4 linked regions of the Ovis aries genome follow. The protein of the gene in region 4 purifies or fractionates together with the protein of the main gene of each other region. This does not show direct contact. Links are inferred from orthologs where the notes say so. Each region holds a gene or a part of one and is shown on either strand. Other genes may lie near its edges.

The links.
Region 1: the proteins of POLR2H (region 4) and RPAP2 purify together in Homo sapiens (affinity purification with mass spectrometry; 3 studies listed by BioGRID and IntAct, with this or other methods). This does not show direct contact. The link is inferred for Ovis aries from reciprocal best matches to the Homo sapiens genes POLR2H and RPAP2.
Region 2: the proteins of POLR2H (region 4) and MED26 purify together in Homo sapiens (affinity purification with mass spectrometry; 3 studies listed by BioGRID and IntAct, with this or other methods). This does not show direct contact. The link is inferred for Ovis aries from reciprocal best matches to the Homo sapiens genes POLR2H and MED26.
Region 3: the proteins of POLR2H (region 4) and POLR1E purify together in Homo sapiens (affinity purification with mass spectrometry; 3 studies listed by BioGRID and IntAct, with this or other methods). This does not show direct contact. The link is inferred for Ovis aries from reciprocal best matches to the Homo sapiens genes POLR2H and POLR1E.

The regions. Positions count from the first base shown.
Region 1 is NC_056054.1:69,579,221-69,582,720, reverse strand, and holds part of RPAP2 (putative RNA polymerase II subunit B1 CTD phosphatase RPAP2), read right to left. Parts: intron 2,995-3,500; coding exon 2,959-2,994; intron 1,103-2,958; coding exon 178-1,102; intron 1-177.
Region 2 is NC_056058.1:6,224,949-6,228,448, reverse strand, and holds part of MED26 (mediator of RNA polymerase II transcription subunit 26), read right to left. Parts: intron 1,492-3,500; coding exon 1,417-1,491; intron 741-1,416; coding exon 1-740. UniProt on the Homo sapiens protein: Component of the Mediator complex, a coactivator involved in the regulated transcription of nearly all RNA polymerase II-dependent genes.
Region 3 is NC_056055.1:51,249,217-51,252,716, reverse strand, and holds part of POLR1E (DNA-directed RNA polymerase I subunit RPA49), read left to right. Parts: intron 1-1,556; coding exon 1,557-1,690; intron 1,691-3,500. UniProt on the Homo sapiens protein: Component of RNA polymerase I (Pol I), a DNA-dependent RNA polymerase which synthesizes ribosomal RNA precursors using the four ribonucleoside triphosphates as substrates.
Region 4 is NC_056054.1:203,612,170-203,616,161, forward strand, and holds the start of POLR2H (DNA-directed RNA polymerases I, II, and III subunit RPABC3), read right to left. Parts: upstream 2,801-3,992; 5' UTR 2,667-2,800; coding exon 2,594-2,666; intron 1,635-2,593; coding exon 1,551-1,634; intron 1,471-1,550; coding exon 1,377-1,470; intron 835-1,376; coding exon 751-834; intron 1-750. UniProt on the Homo sapiens protein: DNA-dependent RNA polymerase catalyzes the transcription of DNA into RNA using the four ribonucleoside triphosphates as substrates.

The sequences.
Region 1 (3,500 bases), about 130 Mb from region 4:
TCCCTGGTGGTGGACCTAGATCTCACATGCTGCAACTACGAGTTTGCGTGCCGCCAACTAATAAAAAAAGATCCCTGCACACCACAACAAAGACTGAAGATCCCACATGCCGCAGCTAAGACCTGGTGCAGCCAAATAAATCAATATTAAAAAAAAATAACTGTCATTAAGACATACCTCTTCTGAGTCCTGTGATTTGGTGGTTTCTTCATTCAAAACATACCGTCCTCTATAAAACTCCCTGATCCGTAAATTTAATGTTTCAGTTTCTTTTTTCAAGTTCTCATAACTTGGCAGTGGTTTAATGGCTGTATCTGAGGCTCTAAATGGTAAAGACTCATCCAAGCTGTTCAACTCCTGCAAGGCAGGGGAATGACTATCTGGGTCAGAGTTTGTATCATCTTCATCAAGTTCTTCTTTAACCAGAGGGGTTGAAGAGGATTTTAGACATACAGATGCATAATTCTGGCCATACAAAAACCTCAAAGTTTCTTCTGTCTTCCACTCAATCAAAGTCTCTTTCAGGGCTTTAAGTAAGTTTGCCTTTGCAATTTCAGGGCACACCTGCAATGAACTGGAAGCTGACCCAGAAACTTGGTTTGATTTGGCAAATTTCCTCTTAAAATGCTCAGCACTTTTCTTACTTATGCCTACAAGAGTTACTTTTGAACTACTGTATTTAATATCAGAAATTTCTGAAGCTTCTAATTTTTCTTGCAGAGAACTATTTGAAGAAATCTGTGTATTTACATTCTGTAAAGGAAGTTCACAAGCAGTAGCTTTCTCCTGATTATCTAATCTGCAATTGCCTAACTGCTCAATGACATCTACTACTGTTTGCTCTTTGCTTTCATGCTGAGAGTTAACTTTTTGACCAGCTTTCTTTTTCATTATGCTTTTTTTGTGCAGCTGCGGCCTTGTTGCATTTGGTCTGTTTCCTGGCAGAACGGAGGAAACAAAGTCTTGCTCATTATCACTGCTACTATCACTATGAGTGCTAGAAGAACTAGATTCATAATGCTTCTCAAAATGGCCAGGATTGTCAATATCTGATGTTTTAATGGCTTTGCTGCATAAATGTATTTCTTCTCCAGAAGGACCACTGTTGAGAGAAAGAAAGAAAAACTGTAACACAGAAACAAAATGTCCCAGAGAATTTATACTTTGTAACTTTCAAGATAAAAATTTTATTCCCTAGGCAAGGCTTTATTTATAGGCTAATATTTACCTAGGCCTATAAACACACACACATTTCAGAAGAAAGCTATAATTCTGTAATTTTTCTACATATCTGATATAGTTCTCTTTCCATCTTCTTCCCTTATCTTTTCTCCTTAATTATTTTAAAAGTGTTACGAGTTGAGCAAAAAGAAAAACAAAACTAAAAATCAAACCATACCCGCACAAATAAAATCTCACAAACCAACACTCGCTAATGTCATACTACTGAATTATTTTAATTTTTGCTCACTCCATTTCTGTAATGAATCCATAGTTGTTTTTTTTTCTTTTAAGGTTTCTTTTGATAAATTCATTACCGGTTTCTCAAAAAAAAAAAAAAAAAATACTGTAGGAACTCTGTTCAGATTTTGAATATTTAAAAAAAGATGTTTAAGCATTTTCCAATCCTGGCTGATAGTTATGTAGAAAATTGCATTAAATTAAAAATATAAGAAAGTCATAGCAAAAGTTGGCAAATCAACATTAATCAATGAAAGATACTTGAAAGTCCAGAATTAACATACAAAGATAATAATTAAAGACAATAGTTTTCCCTTTGACTATGTTACTTTAATTTTCAGATTAGGTTTACAAAAGATTAAAAAACATGAAAGAGTAAAGGCAAAGAGAAGCGTTGTCTATACAAACGAGAAAGATGAGGGGAGGAGGAGATCAATTACCCTTAAACAAATGCACAAATGAGAACTTTAAAAGCTCAGGATGGGAAGGATTCTGGGTCAAGAAGTACTGGGAGAGTCATGAAAGGGTATAAAGGAACTCTCTACTTTTCACACAATTTTTCCGTAAACTGCTCTCCAAAACTGGCTATTGCATTTTTTAAAAAGGTTTTTAAAATGAAATAAAATAATTCAGCAATAAACAAAAAAGCATGCTTGGGGAAAGTATAAAAGAAGAATACAAGCAGAGTTGAAAACAAGGTTCTGGATGGAGATGGAGAAAAAAGATAGTAAGTTTATTCAGTATCAGGTAACATTTTTAAAGTTAGAATTTAGCCTAGACAGTCATGAACTGTCTACTGTAACTAAAGTACAATTTCAAAAAACTTAGAATAACAATTTTCATGTACACTCTCTCTTGGAATTGTAAGGTAATTATGTTTTTCTATACTATTTCAAACCCATAAACTGAAGATTTATATAATTAAAGAGTATCTCGCTTGTGCTCAATTTCATATAACTAACGTAGTGATTAATAACCAGGAAAATTTACTCTGGAAGATAAAAGGGTATGTTTTGAGAGATGATCATGGCTGGGCAAGCAATGTCACTAGGAAAGTTTAGGAAAAAATACAACTTGGAATTTCTATTAATGCTTTAAACACTCTTTCAAATAATTAAATAACTGATACATTAATGTTTTGAAATTCTACAAAATAAGGCTATAAAAACCTTTCAACAAATGTAATTGTCACAATTTGCTTGACAAAGAAGCACAGTATTTCAGATGGAAGCTGTGTTTGTGTCATATTTCAACAGGTTCAATTAGACTTCCTTGGTAGGAACAGCTGTACAGTAAATCATACAGATCAAACACATCATCTTACCATCACAAAAGAAAAAAAGCTGTACAAGGCAAATATTTCTTTGTGTGGGCTAGAATGGGCACTTACATAATGCACCACCACAGGAAGTCCAAGAGTTCATATCACCTGGTTTACTCTTAATGTTTCTATTAACATGAATATATAGAAGGTAAGTGATACTGATTCAACCATACCTTTGTCCTTCTTGTAGCAGCTGAAAATCAGGATGTCTGTGACAAGAAAACAGGAATAAAAAATTGAAAGCACCTGATATATCAAACACTTGAAAGTGGTTCATTATAACCACTTTGGATAGAAAATATAACAAAAAGGAAACAGTTCATATAAAAACGTTTAAGAAAAAATATTAAATGACAACATATTGTAAAACTCATCCACAAGAAATCTGGATTAATCTTTTTTATCCAAAATTTTCTCATATTTCTGGACTAAGTTCCACAAGCCCAATGAGTTTCCCTGATTAACCTGTTAAAGTAAATCTCTCCCTTCTCTAAATTTTAATCATCATTGTCTTTACAGTTAATACACATTGATCATGTACTCTTCTATGACTTACTACAGAAATTTTATCTAAATGTCTTACTTTTCATATCTTTAAGTCTAGTTTCTCAACTAGACTACAAGCTTATTGAGGGCAGAGATTATTATAATTCTCCTGTATTTTGTTTATATGGTCAGTCAGACTTTTTGCCCTAATTGATAAAGCAGTTGTACT
Region 2 (3,500 bases), on a different chromosome or scaffold from region 4:
GAGCCCTTGTACGTGTACGGGCTCCGCTGCCGGGCAAAGGAGCCCTCGTGCCGTGAGTTCCGGGAACCGAGAGAGCAGCGAGGTGGCCCCTTGGGGTGGGGGGGCCCTGGAGTCTCGTCCACCCTGTCCAACTGCTGCAGCACCACAGCCTTCGTCTGCAAGCAGGGCCCGGGGGGCTTGCCCAGGCCCGGGGAGCTGGTGTGCGGCCTCACGGCATTGACGGGGATCTTGCCGCTGTGCTTGTCATTCTCGCCGTGCTCCAGGCGGTTGCCCTCAGGGCCCACGTGCCCACTGCTGTCCAGGGGGCTGGGGAAGCTCTCAGGGCTCCCGCTGATCCCATTGGTGGGGAGGGGGGACGAGTTGGGTACCAGGGAGTCGTGGCTTGCCTTGGAGACCTTGGGAGGTGGCCCAGGGTGACCAAGGTCACGCTGGTCTCCCCGGCGCTTGCGGCTGCCCAACCTGTCCAGCCGCTGCCCGCACAGCCTTGGCATGTCATTGCGGTACTTCAGGTCATGGACGCTCTTGGGCGGGCCGGCCGCCCCTGCCTCTGGCCGGCAGTTGTGGGCACCGCCGTTGGCTGAGCCGGTGGCACCCGCCAGCCCCCGCAGCGCAGCCTCATTCTGGTGCACGGGCTCGATGAGCTTCTGCCAGCTCCGCAGCAGCTTCTTGGCCCGTTTGGCAAGCTCCTCGTTCTTGGTCTTCTTGCGGACGTCGTTGATGAGCTTCCCAAGGCGGGTTTCCTACAGCCAGAGAGACACAATGACACGCTTTTAGGACAGGGACACCCCATGAAGAGAGAGCAGAGGCAGAAATGGAGCTTCCCATGGAGCTGGGGGAAGGGCTCGTGTCTTTGAAATGACCCCACAGGCCCCCTAAACCACTGGTCTCCCAGACACAAAACCTATGAAGATTTTGGGCCCCTCGTGACATTTAAATTCTCAAACCCAAGTCCTCAGATCTTACAGTCCATGGGACAGACAGAGCATTCTCAGAAGCATCATCTCACAGGCTCCCAACTCCTGAAGGCCGCGGACCATTCACGGCCACCTCAAGGACACTTGGCCAGGGGAGATTTCTAGGTGAGAGTACACTGTGGCAAAGGCAACAGCACACGGGACCTTGAGCCAGCCTCACTCACTGGAGCCTCTGCTGCGCACTGCAGAGTGTGCAGGGCCTCCTGCAGAGAAAGGGGCCTCAACTCTGAACTAAAGCCTCTCGTATTTCCTGCAGTGCCCATGTGCTGTGGACTGGCACAGTGCAGGCCAGAAGGGCATGCCCCCCTCACTCCTCCCTTTAAGGCCTTGCTGGGCCAGTGAGCAAAGTCTCTGGGGCTCCAAGAAGTCAAGAAAGCCCAGGGCTGGGGCAGCCCGGGCCCCGCATCACTGCCGCCCTAGTGCTCAGACCTGGAATGCTCACCTCCAGTGCCTCTTTGGTGATGGGGTATTTCTCCAGGCTGGAGATGACTTCCTGCACCGCCACCATGTTCCGGATCTGTAAAACAAGAGCCGCTGTCAGACCTCAGGCACTTCTCCCGGTGCTGGCCTGCTCCATAATTCCCCCTTTCCCAAGCGCCGGTAGAGCCAGCATCACCGGAGACCCCCTCCTGCAGCCTCCTACCTGCTCCCAGGGGCCAGCACGCACCTAGTGCGCACCCTCCCGTCGGCCTCCTCCAGTGCCCGGTGAACAGGTGACTGAGTCTGTCCACGGACACACCCATCTGCCCAAGCGGCTGCCGCACAACTGAAATTCACATTTATGAAACAAGATTCACTCTTGATGCGGGAAATGCACTCGAGTCTGCCATCTGATGGGAGGCTGAAGGACTCACTGAATAAAACGCACCACATTTAAAACAGCTGTGCATAATCATCTAATCAATTTAGCTGCCTTAACAAGATCTTTATAGAGTTCACTGAAAGACATCCCAAGGAGAGCAGAAGTCACAAAGTGGGAGGAGACCAATGCCACAGGGCCCGCCGGGTCTGTGTTTGGGCCCACAGAGAACGCGGGCCGGGAGACACGAACAGGGACTGGGCACGACAGGAAATGGTGCAGCAGCGCTCAACTCTCCTGGCCATCAGGCGAGGCACACCGAACCCACAAGCGGCTGCAACGAACACACGCCAGACTGCTGGAAACGGTATCTGACAACACCAGGTAGTTCTGGGGTACGGCCAACTCTGGGGAGCACTGGGCTGTGTCTGGTCAAATCAAACACTTGTGTGTCTCGTGACCAAGCAATTCTATACCTCGATGACACGTGCTATGAACCAGGCCCTGTTCTACCAAGGTCTGTTTCCATACAGCACTACTCCACTGAATTATCACAACCTCAAGCAGAAGGTGTGAACTATTATTACCATCACATTTTATGAATGTGATGTAAAGGAGTGGGTCATGTGGTCACATGTTGTAACGACACCACTGTCGTCCAAAAGTTGAACAGACTAAGAAATTCAAGAGCTCTAGAAATGAGCACACTGCAGCTTCAGTACATCAACAGATGAACTTCAAACCACAGTGGATGAAAAGTCACAGGAGATACACACTGGGTTGATTCCAATTACACTAAGCATCACAGCATACTCAAAAATTAAAATGGACCCCAGATCTAAATGTGAAAGCAAAAACTCTAAGGTTTCTAGAATAAACAGGAAAATATCTTTGCAACCCTGGGGTAGACAGATTTTTCTGGAGCCCCAAAGCAGTGATGTCTAAGAAAATATCCTGACAAACCGGGCAGTGAGGAGGCTGGTCCCACGGGAACAAGGCCACCCGCTCCCTGTCCCCAGCCCTGGGATTCTGGCCCGCACGGTCCTGGGCTTGCCACATGGCCTCTCTCCACCTCAGTGACCTCACCCTGGTGTATTTAGAGCCCTGGGTCCCTACACACTCCTGAACCAGCAGTGTCCACAGAGCGAGCCCAGTGGCACAGAGTGTCCTTGTCCTTGGGCAGACGCTGTCCTGCTGCCAGAGGAGGGGCAGGCAGAACACCTGAGCAATGCTGGGGGCTGGAGCAAGCTGGCACTGTAGACCCTCACACAGCCAGAGACCCTCCTGGAAGCTGCTCAGGGTGGGGCTGGGGAAAGGCCTGCCACCCCACTGTCATAGCCGAGCAGCCTCTACACTCAGGCGGGCATCCAAAGGGGCTTTCGGCTTTGAGGCGGTGCTCAGGCTCTCAGCGCTGTGGACAGCACTGTCTGCTGCCTTCCTCAAGCTCAGGACCACCCGAGGGCTCATCCCTCTGGCTCCCCTGCTCCAGCCATGCTAGCAAGGGCACTGAGCGCTATGTAGGGAGCATTATCTGGGCATCTGGAGGCAATCAGGCCCTAAGGACTAGGAAGCAGGCCAAGTTCTGCCCTCAGCACAGCCAACAGGCAGGCGTCCTGGGCTCTATGCAGTGCAAGGTTGGGCCTCCAGCCTCAGATCCAGCAGACAGTAATAGCCCAGCAGCCTGCGGCCCTTGCCTCCACTCTCAACGAGAGGGCCCAATGCACAGC
Region 3 (3,500 bases), on a different chromosome or scaffold from region 4:
TGAGCTTTTCTAAAGTTAAATTATATATATAATTTTTTTATTGGTTTTTTAATGTTTATTATTTTTGGCTGTGCTGGGTCTTGCCGCGCAGGCTTTCTCTAGATGTGGTGAGCAGGGGCTAATCTAGTTGCGGTGCTCAGATTTCTTATTGCGGTGACTTTTCTTGTTGCAGAGCAGGGCTCTAGGGTGCCCAGGATTCAGAAGTTGCTGCAAGGTAGTTGGGATGCACGGGCTTAGTTGCCCCAGGGCATGTGGGATCTTCCCAGACCAGGGATCAAACCAGTGCCCCTTGTATAGCAAGATGGATTCTTCTTTTTTTTTTTTCATTTCTTCTTGCTCTTTCATTTTTTTTTTTAGTTATTTATTTTTTTGTTGCACTGGGTATTCATTGTGGCATATGGGATCTCATTCCCTGACCAGGGATTGAACCTGAACTCCCTGCATTAGGGAGTCTTAGCCACTGGACCACCAGGGAAGTCCCGCAAGATGGATTCTTAACCAGTGGACAATCAAGGAAGCCCTGAATTATGTTCTTTAAATATAGTATGTTTTATATAATTCAGAGATGATTGCCTCTACTCCCCTCCCCCTTTTTTTGCCTTTTAAAACAGCTTTTCTTATATGATGATAGTGGGGGATTTTTTTGCTTTTGAGTTTTTCTTTTAATAATTTTATCTTGAAAAAATGTTGTCAACCCTAGGTTGGTTCCCTAGATATTTGGAAATTTTACTGGTCAGTGAAATCCAAAGTCTTAGAAAATACATTTTTTCCCCCCTCTCTAAAGATCCATTTCCAAAAGAAGCTTCATTGCTGGTTCTTCATTGTCTTAATGTGATGTGGCTCAGGGCCAGGTACTGGAAGGAGCTCTGGGCTGGGATTCTGGAGAACTGAGTCCCCATCTGCCTGATGGACTATGTGGTCTTCCCCTCACTGAGCCTTAGTTTTCCCATCTGTACAAGGAGGCTGCCATGAGATGACACCGAAGAGCCTTTTATGGCTGCGATTCCATGATTGTGATAGTGGTAGAACAACAGTATGTAACAATAACAGTCAGCACTGATGGGACTCTTCCCTGTGCCAAGCGCCACTTTAATTGCATTGTCTCATTTACTCCACAAAAATCCATAGGGTGAGGGTATTTAATTTAGGGGCAAAGAAACAAAAACAGAGACGTTCAGAAACTTGCTCAAGCCACTGCATGGCAGAGAGAGGATTCAGACCTAGGTAGGTGAGAGCCCGTGCTCCAGACCACCACATCAGGATTGGGCAGAGTGCTGAGTCTTGGACACTGCCTGTGAATAAAGTTTTAGTGGAACATAGCTTCAGTCATTCATTCCTGTGTTAATCAGTGGCTGCCTTTGCACTGCAGTGGCAGTGACCATTTGCTCACGAAATGTTTATTTACTGTCTAGACCTTTACTCCCCCTGCACTAAATTCATGCTCCTATTGTAAGGAGCTGGTGGGATGGCCCTTCCTCAGCTGTTGACTGTATACCAGGTGTGGGGTGCCTACTGGCTGGTCTTACACATTTCCCCTTTTCCCTCCCCTGTTGTAGTCACTGCTCCTTTGTCATAGAAGCGTTGAAGTCTTTGCCATCAAATGAGGAGAGCCGAGACCGCCAGGCACGGTGCATATGGTACCTGGACACCCTCATCAAATTTCGAGCACAGAAAGTGATTAAGCGGAAAAGTAAGTCCATGATAGACTTTTTTTTTTAATTGAAATACAGTCGATTTACATTGTGTTTGTTTAAAGTATACAGCAAAGTGATTCAGTTACATATGTATTTATACATATATATATTCTTTTTCAGATTTTTTTCCATTATAGATTATTAAAGGATACTGTATATAGTTTCTTGTGCTATACTGTGGGTCCTTGTTATTTTATGTATACCAGCATGTATCTGTTAGTCCCAAACTCCTAATTTATCCCTCCTTCCCTTGCTTTTCCCCTTTGGTAACCATACATTTATTTTCTATGTCTATGAGTCTGATTTGTATCATTTTCTTTAGATTCCACATAAAAGTGTTACTATATTTGTCTCTCTGTCTGGCTTTACTCATTATGATAATCTCTAGGTCCACCCATGTTGCTGCAAAGGGCATCATTTCATACTTTTTTATGGCTAAGTAATATTCCATAGAAATATATATACTACATCTTTATCCATTCATCTGTTGTTGGACATTTAGGTTGCTTCTGTGTCTTGGCTATTGTAAGCAGGGCTACAATGAACTTTGGGGTTTATATATCAGGATAGGCATTTTATTCTAGTTATTTCCAGTCTGTTATCTGTCTATAACTATTAGACTAATTCTAGTGAAGAAAGCTGAGCGCTGAAGAATGGATGTTTTTGAACTATGGAGAAAACTCTTGAGAGTCCCTTGGACTGCAAGGAGATCCAGCCAGTCCATTCTAAAGGAGATAGTCCTGGGTGTTCTTTGGAAGGACTGATGCTGAAGCTGAAGCTCTAATACTTTGGCCACCTCATGAGAAGAGTTGACTCATTGGAAAAGGCTCTGATGCTGGGAGGGATTGGGGGCAGGAGGAGAAGGGGACAACAGAGGATGAGATGGCTGGATGGCATCACCGACTTGATGGACATTGAGTTTGAGTGAACTCCGGGAGTTGGTGATGGACAGGGAGGCCTGGCATGCTGCGATTCATGGGGTCTCAAAGAGTCGGACACGACTGAACGACTGGACTGAACTGAGAGAAGAAATGGGCATGTCTTTCCAGGTCTTCATTTATAACTGTGTAACAGAGGGGGTACTGCTGATGTGCTGAGAGAACTTGCCAAGCTCTTTCCTCTGAAAATAGGGTCGAGTTGGATTATATGATTGCTCAGAGCTAACATTCACTACTTCTGTTCTATGTTAGGTAAAGTATAACATCCAGTCCAATCAAGTGAATATTCTAGGGGAAGGTTAGAACTAGTTGTATGGGGAGAAAAGTTGGCCTTGCTTGTGAAGGCCTGTGGCACAATGTTGTGTCAGCTCTTTCTGGCTTGGAGGGAAGTCACTTTCTGCTGGTAACCCATGTCACCTGTCACCAGGGCATGGGTGTCTGCCACACATGCACGGCCACCCAGAGTTGGAAATCCAGAGAGAGACACCTGTGATTTGAGGCCTAAGGTGTATACAGTTGTGTTACTGTGACTAGGCACCTGGGGTTTATACAGGAACACCTCGTTCTGCCATTCTTCACAGATACCATGGTTTTTACAAATTGAAGGTTTGCAGCAACCCTGGGTTGACCAAGTCAGCACCATTTTTCCAACAGAGTCTGCTTGCTTTGTGTCTATGTATCACATTTCATTGTTTGTGAATATTTTCAACTTTTACATTGTTATATTATGATGGTCTATGATCAGTGATCTTTGATGTCACTGCTACAACACTCTGAAGGCTAAGATGATGGCTAGCAATTTTTTAGCAGTAAGGTATCTTTTAATTGAGGTATGGACACTGGTTTTTAATTTTTAATTAATTATTGG
Region 4 (3,992 bases):
AAGGGAAATGGTCAAATCAATTAAGATACATCCATTTATTGGAATGTTACACAGCTATAAAAATGTTTAGGAATTTAAAAAAAATGTTTAGGAAAAGCTTTAAATTGACATGAGGAAACATGTTTTACATAACATTAAGCAAATGGAACAGAACAAAACATTGTAATAAACAACATGATCTCAAAGAAAAAAGTACATAGGAAAAAAAAAACCTAGAACATTCAAGAATGTTTATGTAGAAGATTCCCTCTGGTTATAGAATTATAGGTGACTTTTTTCCTTCTTCATATTACTTTTCTGCTTTTCAAATTTCTTGCAAAGGGCACATATTGTTTTAATAAGGTTTTAAAGAAAAGGAAAAAATAGTTGGGCAGAGAAACCAAAGAACTAGGGATTGGATTGCAGAGTAGCAAAACACACACACACACACAAACAAAAAAGCCTAGCAGTTTAATCACTTATGCTGCATTTAGTTCTTGGAGAAGTAACTTTCCTTGGCATTTCACTCAGCAAGATTAACAGTTTCTCATTTAGATCACAGGCCTTAAGATCCTGACAGAGGGCAAACTGACCAGCCTACATTTCAGACTGAAACTGTTCCCAAAACAGTTCCTTTCTGGGTCCCGCTAGGTCTGAGGTGCTTGAAGAAAGAAATCCAGGGAGCCTGAGGATGGTCCAGATTTTCAAAGCATAGCCCAAATTCTCACAAAATGAGAAGGGAAAGGGCTCTCACAAGACCAAGGAACTTACAGGCGTGTTGCTGCTTCAGTAGAAGTTTCGTCTCCCTCAATCCTGTACACTTTCCCATACATGACATACTCAAATTGGTCAGCCCTGTGGAACAATAGGGGCAGTTATTCTTAAATACAGTTAACAAAAGTAAGAGGCCCTTTAAAAAAATGGTAACTGGTAACTATACGCCAGCATCATAACACCAGGCACTTTCTAAACGTGATGTCATTCAATCCTCACAGCAACCCTGTGAGCTAGGTATGACCATCAATGTTATTGATGAGAAAAAACTAAGGTTGAAGGAGGTTAAGGTTATCCAACAAATAAGTGGTAGAGCTGAGATGTGAACTGAGTGGGCGTCCAAAGCCTTTCCATCACACCAAACTCCCTCCCAAGACACAAGGCCCACAGAGCCTAGGTCATTCAGTGCTCATTTCCTCCACTATCAAAAAGTGACAACTCACACTGTAATCACTGCTTTGGATAAACACCTGGATGTCTGGATTCTTAAGTGCTGCACTTTTCTTAAGCTAACAGAGTCTGCTGATAATCATTTATTTCATGAATTAAGTAAGGGTTTTTCTATACACCTATCCACTTAGTCCTCAGGCACATTTCAGGTGCTCCCTTTTCCATCCCCTCACCTGGAAGGCCTATCATCTGTGGGGTTGTATTCACCATCATCCAGAGTACCATCTTCATATAAGGTACTGGCTATGACCAACCGGAACTTGTCACCTGAAAACAACAGCGGTAGCAGAGGGTGGAGACCAGCTGAGATGGCATAAAGCCTCCTGCTGTTTGTGTTCAATACTTACCCAAGTCTACCGGGTAAATCTGAATGTTTACATCAAGGATGAGGTCCATCTTGAAAGATTCACTCTCACAATGCAGCCGAGACACTGGAGGGGAAGAGTGGCAGAAGTTAACTGCCTGTGGCCCAGGGCAGACCCTACAGGGCAGGGCAGACAGGTACTTCAGGGGCCTGGATGCAACAGAATACTCAGTCTAATGCAGTCTGTATCCACTGGCCTCTCATCTGCTCTCACAGAAGTACAGGCTCAATCAGAATCACACATGCAGGAAGGAAAGGGGAGACAACCTGTGGCCAGTGGACAGAATCCACAGAAAAGAATCAAAGATCCTCTGGCAATAAATAATATCCAGGTTCTAGGCCAACCTAAGTGATTAAGAAATAACCTGATTTGGGGCAAGGTATTCATTCATCCTAAGGTTTCCTCTTCCTGTGTCAGGTGCTGTGCTAAGGGGATTGATTATCAAGATGTGTAAGAACTGGTGTTTGTCCCGAAGAACTTATCAGTGTCCAGGCAAAGGAAGAGACACCCAGGACAATTATTGATAAATGACAGAATAAAGAGGTGTATACCAAGCAGTCTACTCTTAAACTCTGAGAAGATTTTACAAACAGCTAAAGACTCTGAGGAACGGGTTGTGAAGTCGGATTATTCACTGTACAACCTTGGGTGGGCTGCTTAGCCTCTCAGAGCAAAATGGGTAAGACACCGCCTACTCCTGGAAGAAAATAAGTGAGACAAAGCGCGTGCGAAGTGTTAAGTACAGCGCCCGGTCCAGAGCGGGGAGCGATTATAAAAGATGCCTGGAGTCCACCAGCACCAGCAGAAAAGGCCACCCAGGCAGCGAGCACAGCTTGTGTGAAACCAGGGAGAGCTCGGGAGTCTCCGTTTTCTTATCTATAAAATTATTTCTCGAGAGAGGTCCCCACACCAGGACCCACCGGTAGGGAAAGGCCACGCGAAAGTGGGTGGACAAGCAGCCTGGGGGCGGGTACCAGAGGAGATTAGCCCCTTCCCCCGAAACCGCCCCTCCAAACCTTGCTTACCTCGGTCAAACTTTTTGCCTTCCGGGTCAATGTCTTTTACATCAAAAATATCCTCAAAAAGGATGCCCGCCATGGTGAGGGGGCCACGAGAGTAGCAGAGGGACTGGGCGCGCTGACCACGACGACTAGGGGTAGCGCACCCCCTCGCGTGGAGGAAAAGAGGCGCGCTAAGACGACGCAGCGCTGAAACGGCAGCGGCAAAGGAATACAATAACGCATGCGCATAGAAGAACTGTACCGCAGCCACTTCCGCTGCCTAGCTCTCGGGGCTTCTTAACTTCCGCCCCGAACGATTGTTTCCCAGAGGTTTCAGAATTGAGGGCTGGTTTCGGGTCCAGAAAACCCCGCCCCCGGCGGCGACACGATGGGTCCCACCTCCGACAGAGGTGGCGTCGCGTCCGGCTCTCTCCCGAGGCTCTACTGCGCCCTCTTCAGAAGCCGGGTCTGGAAGACTGGAATGCTCAAGCGGCCTGCCCCAGCCAGGGACCTTGATCCTTGGCCCAGAGAAGCCCGGCCCGAGCCTTACTGTGCCGGTCTGCGTGCCCGCCGAGGGCAAGTCCGCACAGAGAGTGAGGGGAGCAGCACCCCGCCCCCAGGGCGCTGGCCCGACTGGGCGCAAAACCCAGCCCTTCCTGCTGGCACCCAGGCCGGCCCGGGCCGGCTCGTCCCAGCTGGATGTCACCTGAGCCGGGTCCCTCCAGTTTGGGAATTTGCCATGATGTCACCATGGGGAAGAGGAAAGCCTGCACCGTCCCCTTTCCTGCTCTCTTCTCTCACACCACCCCTTCAGCAGGGCATTAACCCCAAACCCACTGCCCTCCTCGAGCCCTGCCCCTTAAGCTCTGTTCTTCCCTTTCCGCTACCACGGTCCTCTCCTTCTAGACAAGCTCTCCTACGGGCTTCTTCATCCTGGCACTACCCTATCCTACAGATGCCACCTCTTTCTTTACATTGCCCCTTCCTCTAGGGTGCCAGCTCTCACTTCGGCCCCCTCCTGGGCACTGCTCCCTTACCCGGGAGCCCCCTGCGACCTCCCGCGCGCCCCTTCACCCCGGCGCTGCCTCCTCCTGCACACTGCCTGTTTCCTGGGCACTGGCCTCTCCTGACACTCTCCCTGACGCTGCTCATACACTAGTGCTCACCCCCTCTGCTCTGTCCTCCGGACCCTCATACAGAACACAAAGCCCCAGCAGGCCGTGTTCCCCCATGGCTGCTAGACGTCAGCACCTACTCCGGTTTCTCTTTGGGCCCTGCCAGGGAGAAGCGACCTCTGTCCCCACCACGCCCGCCTCCCAGGCACCTAGACCTCCCTTCCCTCTGGCCTCACCCATTCCCGTTCCCTCCCCATCTCCACCCCAACCCCCCGCACTAGCCGAAGGCCAGGTGGCTCAAAGTGCAC